2 linked regions of the Arabidopsis thaliana genome follow. The protein of the gene in region 2 interacts with the protein of the main gene of each other region in a pairwise test. Each region holds a gene or a part of one and is shown on either strand. Other genes may lie near its edges.

Evidence for each region.
Region 1: the proteins of RING1 (region 2) and ASHH1 interact in a two-hybrid assay, tested with the Arabidopsis thaliana proteins (one large-scale study listed by BioGRID).

The regions. Positions count from the first base shown.
Region 1 is NC_003070.9:28,788,989-28,794,577, forward strand, and holds ASHH1 (SET domain group 26), read right to left. Parts: upstream 3,732-5,589; 5' UTR 3,629-3,731; exon of another isoform or gene 3,438-3,628; 5' UTR 3,384-3,437; coding exon 3,363-3,383; intron 3,286-3,362; coding exon 3,221-3,285; intron 3,127-3,220; coding exon 2,970-3,126; intron 2,810-2,969; coding exon 2,723-2,809; intron 2,531-2,722; coding exon 2,446-2,530; intron 2,358-2,445; coding exon 2,264-2,357; intron 2,175-2,263; coding exon 1,976-2,174; intron 1,869-1,975; coding exon 1,834-1,868; intron 1,716-1,833; coding exon 899-1,715; 3' UTR 732-898; downstream 1-731. Other genes in the region: AT1G76720 (eukaryotic translation initiation factor 2 (eIF-2) family protein), read right to left, coding at 5,156-5,287, 5,394-5,513. UniProt on the Arabidopsis thaliana protein: Histone methyltransferase involved in regulation of flowering time. Required for the expression of the SOC1/AGL20 gene. Required for histone H3 trimethylation on 'Lys-4' (H3K4me3) at the SOC1 locus.
Region 2 is NC_003076.8:3,265,863-3,269,462, reverse strand, and holds RING1 (RING/U-box superfamily protein), read right to left. Parts: upstream 1,829-3,600; 5' UTR 1,645-1,828; coding exon 739-1,644; 3' UTR 650-738; downstream 1-649. Other genes in the region: AT5G10390 (Histone superfamily protein), read left to right, coding at 1-398; AT5G10370 (helicase domain-containing protein / IBR domain-containing protein / zinc finger protein-like protein), read right to left, coding at 2,275-3,497.

The sequences.
Region 1 (5,589 bases), on a different chromosome or scaffold from region 2:
GTCCATGAGGTCATTTAGTGGTGTCCTAGGTTCAATATGTTTTGCACATATTAAATTTTAACATTTATATTATTTTTATAACTATTTAAAATATAAGGTTTTTATTTTTATTTTTTAAGTAATATTTTAGACAAATATTTTTTTTTTTAATATACATAATATTTTGGTTTTAATTGTTAAAGTTTAATATGTGTAAAATAATTGGACACAACATCCCGTCCATAGTATGAGGTCCTTTAGTGGTGTCCTAGGTTCAATATGTTTTGCACATATTAAATTTTAACATTTATATTATTTTTATAACTATTTAAAATATAAGGTTTTTATTTTTATTTTTAAAGTAATATTTTAGACAAAATATTTTAACTTTTTAGATATACATAATATTTTGTTTTTAAGTGTTAAAGTTTAATATGTGTAAAATAATTGGACACAACATCCCGTCCATAGTATGAAGTCCTTATACGGTGTTCTACGTTCAATATGTTTTAAGTAATATTTTACACAAAATATTTTAATTTTTAAAATATACATAATATTTTTGTTTTTAAGTGTTAAATTCAATATGTGTAAAATAATTGGACACAACATCCCCCCATAGTATAAAATCCTTAAGCGATGTTCTACGATCAATATGTTTTACATAAATATAAAATTTTAACTAAAAAAGTTTTTTTTATCATTCAAAATGTCTTTATTAAATTATTTTGATTACTAATTTTTATTTTTTTGGTAGAATTGATTAATAAAAATTTGATTACTAAAATTTTAAATTTCAACAAAATGTTCTCATTTTAAAAATATTTATTACATTTTCAAACGTGAAAAGTAAACCAAGTTAGCTTCCAGTTCTTAAGATATTTTTTTGTCCATTAGAGGTGTCCTTCCGAGCTAATTCTCATTTGGCTTCCAAGAGTTTAATATGGTCTTCGTTTCCTGCTTCCGCGACTTTGGTCTTTGTGTCTTGTGGTTTGATGGGAGTGGAAGCGATGTTCTTTATTACACTAGAGTAAAGATCAAACTCTGCCTTGAGTTTATTACAGCTTGCTTGTATCCATTTCTCCGCCACACTTGTTGCTACACTGTCTTGGCTATCTCTTTCATGCTCCTCAATCGCCGGCCTTATCTCGTCGTACAATGACGAGAGTCGTACTGCTGCTTCCTTCTTCACCTCCTGCAAGCAACAATTTACCAAACACATCTGATACTGAGAAGGTTTTGAATTTGTACCTATACGCTTGAAAAACTGTTTTACCTCGTATTTGAGAACTTCATCTTGAGCTTCTTTGGTTGCTAGTAGCTGAACCACATTCGCTATGTCAACATGCTTCTGAGCGACATTCTTTGTTTTTCCGCCTGAAAACGGCCTGCCTCTTTTCTTCGGAAGAGATTCGGACTTGATCTTGGAAATGTTACCGTGAACCCGTGATACAATTGCAGTCTTTGGCGATGAATCTTCTTGTGAATTTTGTGAGAGCAGCTTCATGTCTTCAGATGTTTCGGTTTTAACAGTCTCCGTGACGACATCTTCCTCCATAGGAGTTGGAGTTGAATCTGATTGCTGTTGAATATTCAGAGCAGTAGACTCCAAATGGTTCTCTGTTGAGATATCTTTCTCTTTCTCTTCATTTGTGTTGGACTCGCCATTCTTAGAAGGCTCAGATGTAAGCTCGTCCTCTGCAGAATCATAGACTGGAATTTTATCAACTGAATACCTGGAGACAAAGAAAAGAGAGGGGCTAAAATATCGCCAGTCCAAGATGAAAAACATTCCTTTCTCGCAAGATCCATGACCATTTTTATGCCGCATAAAATAAGTGAAAAGAAAATTACCGATCGTCACCATCCTCCCATACATATGTATCCTCCTGAAATGATAGAAAGGTATAAGGTTAGGTATAGACCAGTATGATTAATTTCATTCCTCCCAATTTTTGACAAATAATACTATGAGGATGATAACGTAAGGACTTGCCTGAAAGCCACGAGACTTGGCTCCAAGAAATCCAGAGCATGCAACCGCACCACAGAGACAACGCACTTTGGCACCACCGTACCATTCAAAATTATAGTCGTAAGCCAATTCGGTCCGGGGAGAGATGCTCTCTTTTGCAAAGATCCCAACCCTAACTTCTCCCAGTACATTCCACTTCCTCGTCTCACAATTTGGTCTACTGCAGGAAAATAGAGAAAGAAACGATAAGGAACGTTTTATAGATATGAATTTCTTTGAAGCATGTAAAAAGCCAGTTGTTCGTTTTACCATGAATGATTTATAAACCTAGCAAGGCTTCCCTTCTTAGTGGCATCAATAGCCTCAGATGCATTGAGAGATATAATGTATGCATCCTTGACACCTGCTCATGTAACACATAATTAACACATCACCTAACATCACCTATAGCATTACAACACTCTCATCATCTCTGTAAAGTTTCTACTCACCATGAGTTTCATAAGTTTGAGCCCTCTTCTTTGCTTCTTTCCATGATATTACTTCACCACAGTACTCCATTATAAATTGCCCCGCCTAAATCATAGCATCAAATACAACCAGTCATTTAATCAAACCCAATTGACTATTTACTTAAGAAAAAGAATACACCAGCCATGTTATTTGCCCATTTGCATTAGATCAACGAAGTGTGACGGAAATTGTCATAAATCTTGGTAAAGAGTATCAGACATGATAAAGACACAAGAATAAATTTTGAGTCCTCACCTTTATCTCTTCAAGAGCCACTAGTCCCCAACCACGACCTTCACACTTGATCAACTTTGTTTTGGCGTATTCACATTTTTGGAACTTCTGTAACCGGCAAAGCATGTAAAACTACTAATTAACATTCATTTAACTCAATTATCATTAGTTTGAATAGGAACTTGTAAGAACATCACCAAGCTTTAACGCAAATCTTAGATTCTAGAATTACATGAAAACGTGGAAGCAAAGATTTCAAGTTGTTAACCTGATTCTTGCAATAGACACCACAGGGGCAGTAACCAGGAGTACATTCAGTGTTGGTAATGACATTGAGGCATCTCTCACCACAAGCACTGTCAGGGTCTCCGAAATCAAACTTGCATTCGCAGATAGATATATCTTCTTCCTTTTGTTTCTTGTGCCTATAGAAGCGTTAAACAAATGTGTACTTAACAACAACGCATACTGAGAAGATAACCGAAAGCCACGAGCCAGCAATCAAAGAAAGGATCTTACTTTCGATAAGAGAAGTCATTTTGATAAATGTGTTCATATTGTGGCAGCTCATCTCCTTCTTGATCCTTCACACAAAAACATCATTGGCGAAATTCGCACAAACAAAACAAACCAAATCGAAATCTCACCCAATTTCACTTACAGGATCACAAGAAAATTGCATTTTTTTGTCAGCGATTCTCGCAATCAGACTCAGGGCCTAGTATAGGTCAAGTTTCTACAAAATTAAAAACGGAAGGAGAGAATTAGGTTTATCAAACTCTGGGATTTTAAGATCGACACAAACCTTTGGAAAGGAAGAAACTTGCAGCTAGAAACGAAACCACATTACTTAACACATATTTATTTGCAAACACACAAAATTGGATATTGGTGTAAGAGGGAAAGTGGGAAACTGAAGAAGCTTACCTGAGAGTTTGAGAGAGAGAACGCGACGACGAGCGAGGACGAAGAACAATAGACGGCGTTAGGAAAAGAATGCAACCAACTTTTCTTTTTCTTTTTAAAATTAGGAAAAAACAATAGACAAAGCTAAATTAATTAAAAAGAAAAGAAAAATTATCATGTTAATAATATCGTGACCTTAATTAAAGTAGATATCATGTAACTAACATCTATGAGACCACACTATATGTCGTTTCATTGATTACATTTTGTGTTAAATCTTGTATCACGATTCTAAATTAATATTTTTGAAAAAAATATATCAAAAAAGAGGTTCTAATTTTGTTAGATACATTTATTGAGTTATAAGAAGTATCACTTTTTGGGTGTTTATATTGTAATGGGTACATGCAACTTTTTAAAATATGATCATAAAACACAAAATAAGTTATTTGGCTAGATGAAGTAAAGGGAGATGGCTCTAACGATGGCTATAGGAGTAGATAAAAAAAGAGTTATTGCCATCGCCGTCGGAGTGATTTTAGCCTTGGTGGGGTCTTGGACTATGGTTGCTCCTCAAAAATTATACAAATTTTTATATAATAATATAACCAACCCATCTCTCCTTAATTTTAATAATTTAACTTTTAATAAGATTATACAAATTTCGATAATTTAAGTAATAAAAACTACATTATATTCTTATATTTGTTGATATTATATAATAATATAACCAACCCATCTCTCCTTAATTTTTAATTACTTATTTAGTGAGTAAATAAAAATGATTAAATTGGGAAAAAAACAAGAACAAAAAAAAACTAGTCTCCACTTCATTTACTTTCCATTTTGTATTGCTTTCAGTTTTGTATAATTTGAAAATAGTAGAGCAAATCACAGCCTGGGCTTAGCTATAACTTTTTTTTTTTATCATCTAGCTACTTTTCTTTTTGTGTGCACCAATTCATCTTGCTACTTTAGTCATCATTATTTAAATTTTGCATCACATTTTCTTCCCGGTTATTATTTGAAGATATATACTAATAATATACTGTATATGATGATTGTAGCTCGGTTGAGTTAACCCTAATTAAGGTTTAGTGTGTAGACCGGGTTCAAGAGGCCTCTATATAAGTCAGAGTCTGTAACAAACTCTCTTTAACGAAATAACATGCTTTATATGAGAATTTAGAATTTCAATAAGATTATATAATTTCAGTATTACCTATTAAGAGTTTTCTTGATATTGGCTAAATTAATTAACAGGGTTACAAATTTCAGCCTAATATAGTTATTAAAAAAACGAATCAGGAAGATAAATCCCTTCGTTATGCAGCAGACACGACGTAACAACAAGGCCCGCGAGTGTTTTAAGCTCTAGAGTAGACATTTGACTGTTCAGGGAATCTTGAAGATTCTCTTCAGTTTCAATAGGAGCTTCCATTTCTCTGTCGACATTTCTTTCTGCAATTGTTATTGGTTTTAATTTCGAGCATTTGTTTTGGGTCAGAATAATGAGTCAAAGAAAACGTAGATGGGAAACAACTTATCTTATCCTTGACTTACCATGTAGTCAGCTTTGAGTATGTCGATAGATCTCCTCGAAATGTGACTCACAAGCTCATCTTCCATGTCAAAATGCCTTCCAAACATCTTCTGTTCTTCGCGATTTGAAGCAACAATCTGTTATACAACCAGAGAAAAGCATCAAGTTGAAACCTCAACAACTTTTGTCTCTCTCTCTCTTTCTCTATACAAAGGTTGTTGAAGGGAATGATCCCCTTATTACCTTAATCGCCACCTCGTCGCCCTTCTCTGCATAGTCAACAGGCTTGTGGTTGTTCTCAATAGAGGCAATGCGGCCAATATCTGTGAACTCTCTGCCCGGGACGCAAATGGGGGTTCCGATCTAAAACAAACAAGACGAATGTTAAAAGGATTGAGAATCCTTGGACATGTGAGCAAGTTACCGAGAATATAGCAGA
Region 2 (3,600 bases):
AGCAAACCGCGAGGAAATCCACAGGAGGCAAAGCACCAAGAAAGCAACTCGCAACCAAGGCGGCAAGGAAATCTGCTCCGGCCACCGGAGGAGTGAAGAAGCCGCATAGATTCCGTCCAGGAACTGTTGCCTTGAGAGAGATCAGGAAGTATCAGAAGAGCACTGAGCTTCTGATCCGTAAGCTTCCTTTCCAGCGTCTGGTTCGTGAGATAGCTCAGGATTTCAAGACGGATCTGAGGTTTCAGAGCAGTGCTGTTGCTGCTTTACAAGAGGCTGCTGAGGCTTACCTTGTTGGTTTGTTTGAAGACACTAATCTTTGCGCCATTCACGCTAAGAGGGTCACCATCATGCCTAAGGATATCCAGCTCGCGAGGAGAATCAGAGGAGAAAGAGCTTGAAGACTGTTGTTATGGTTTATATCTTTTGATTTAGTTCGTCAATGGAACTCTATTTCTGGATTTTGATTTGCGTTTTAGTAGTAATGGGTTCTTGTAAGTGTTGAGCTTTGGCTCGTTTTAATTTTCAGTTGTTAGGTACTTTGGTTTAGTTAGCCTTGAAGTGTTCGATGAAATACCCCAACGAAACTCTCTCCTGTTTAATAGAACTTATTTTCCTTAATTTCTTTGGTTTTGCTGCTCGTTGATCATATAATATTGAAACATTGAAAGTTTCGATTTATTTCAGATACTGTATATAACACACTAGATATTACATTAAGCTTCAATGTAGTTACACCAATTAACTGGTGTTACCAGTTACGGATGGCATTTGGTTTTGTGGAATCGGTTGTTCGTTCCTTACTCTTCTTGATGATGAGAACAAGTTAGCACTGAAGCTGGTATAGAACTGTCTTCCACTTCTAGTAGCATTGTTAATACCATCGCAAAGTGATAAGCTTCCTCCAATTGAAAACGATCTTCTCACGTTTTCTACTCTTCCTGAGCCACAGTAGTTTGCCAAATCACTTTGTGCCCTTGGAAGAAAAATGTTATGGTTTCTTCTAGATCTGGAACTGTCTTGTCTTCCACGGAGGTCATTGCTCGATTCAGAATCTGGTTGATGATTCGTCTCTGTTTCTTGATGAGGTGGTTCAGTGATAAGAAGTACAGGGGCACGACATAAAGGACAGTTCTTGTGAGAGAGCAACCAAGTGTCGATGCAATTTAGATGAAAGGCATGGCTACACTTTGGTAACAGTCTCAGCGACTCGTCTTCTTCAAACTCGTTTAAGCAGACAGAGCATTCTGTGCCGTCGATTATCCCTTCTCCCTTTTTGAATCCAACGACTGTGATCGAGTTGATCGCGGAACGGTGGAGACCGACGGTTGGGATTTGCCAAACGTGATGAAAGTCGGAGAAATCTCTCTCCTCTGTTTCGTCCTCATCTTCCTGTTGGTTTGTGTCACCGGGAGTTACGCTGGCGGCTGAAATCCGCCGTTGTTGCGTGATGTGGAGGTAGAGGAAGAAGACTAGAAATAGAAAGAGTATGATTGAGCCGACGACGCAGATCGAGGTGGGGAGTAGGAGAGAGAGCTCCCTCGGTGGCGGTGGTGGTGGTGGCGGGGGAGGGTATTGCCGGAAACAAAAGCGTAAATCTTTAAACTGTAGACATGAAAGAAGCATTTTTCTGTGATTAAACGCCATTGTAGGAGTTCAGAGACGACATAAACAGAGCAAAAACAGAGGACTTTACTTTCAGACACAACTAGTAGAAAACAGAACAAGAACAGGGGAAAATGGGTATGACACACAATTCCAAGTTTTTGCTTCTGATGAAAGCAAAAAGAAATAGGACACTAAAACCCACAAAATGGGTTAGAATCTAGACAAGAGTCATGACCCAAAAAATCTTCGTGAGGAAATAAGTGGGTACACAGCCACACACATCACAATCTACAAGACTAGGAATTAGAGAGGATTTGTCCTTTTTAAGGGTTGGAAAGTGGGTGGAAATTTCCTGAAAGTGATAACGCCATTAAAGGCGATGTCTCTGTATGTTAGGAAGTAGTTTCCTTTCAACTTAGTAAACTCTCTGTAGACATTTACGCGTAATCAGTCATGTAGCGAGTCAAGTAAGTCTTTCATTTACAACAATCTTAATTTATTTGGCATCCGGTTTAGATTATGATCGGTTTTTTCAGTTGGTTAAAGAAGGTATAACTACCGAACTACACTATCTTCACATATGTACACATTAAGCATACCAGATGTTACAGAATATAGATACATAGGTCCGGTCTAGTCGGGCTGGGCAACGGGGTCCTCTGGGACACCTTACTCGACTAATCCGATTCCACCATGAATTGTCCTTAAATGGGCATAACAAGGTTCTTCTTGAGTGAAGACGTCTAAGCAGGTCCAACAAATGTGCTTTCCACACCGGCACTTCATATGGTTACACCCATCAGTCTTCTCTATCGTCGACTTGCAAATCGGACACTCCTTTACGTTCTTCCCTTTTGCCCAGTCCTTTAGCGACAAGTCCGGATTTTCCTTGAACTTTTTGTACCTTTCACAAGTGATTAACGGGTGATACTCGAGGTGACACCTTGTGCATATTTCTGAGTGACATGCTCCACAGATGAATGGCTCACCAGATTCTTGAGGTCCAGCTACACGGTAGACGGAAGGGCAATCAGGTGTGGAGCAAAACCTGAACTTTCCATCACTGGATGTTACAAAAGAGGACAAGGATGCGCTGAAGAGTTCATCGAGCTTCTCTTGTGATAAGAGGGCTCTCATATCAGCGAGTACTATTGGAGCTCCACAGTCTATGTGAGAACAAAGTATTGGGAATGCGTCAAAGTTTCTCATCGATGCCTCAAATTGCTCCAACAAACAAGCTTTGCAGAAGAGGTGTGAACATCCTTCAAGAGAGTAGCCATCATCAACTTCAGACAAGCAAATGGGGCATTCAACTTCAATCTCATCTGGTTTTTCACCCAGTGCACTCTTTTCTCGTGCAAGTTCATTGACCATCTTTTGTACTTCCTGCCTCATTTCTTTGCTCCCATGAACCTGAATAACATGGTACCGGGTGTTGAGCTTGAGATCCACACCATGCACCTTTTCTTTGATACCTTGGAGCTCCGGACCAAACCGCTTCACAACTTCCTTCATGAGGTCAGGACGGATCTCAGGACCTCGGAGGTGGATTTCAAGTTGCTTGCTCTCATGATAATCCATAAGTGCCTGAATCAGTTCTTGTTCTGCCTTGGCAATTTTCTCACTTGTTCCACAAATGCGTACTGTGAGATTGTGCCTATCTAATAGAATGTAAGTTTCTGTCTCCTGCTGGATCTTCCGCATCAGATTAATACCATCTCTGGACATAAGATGCTGCAGGACTCTACGTGTGAAGCCTGGATGGTTTATGGGTCTTCCTCTTAAGAGTTCTTCAAGTTCTCTCCGCATCTCCGCAACGGGTCTTGTTGCATAAGCAGTAATTTTAACACGATAAGCCCCGTTATGAGTTGGTTCCAGACAGCATTCACCCCCTACAAAAATATAAACAAACGTTAATGCACATCAAAATTTGGACAAGTTCACAGGAAAAATAGGACACCTAAGCTTATGCATCCTTCAAATATCCCTTACCCT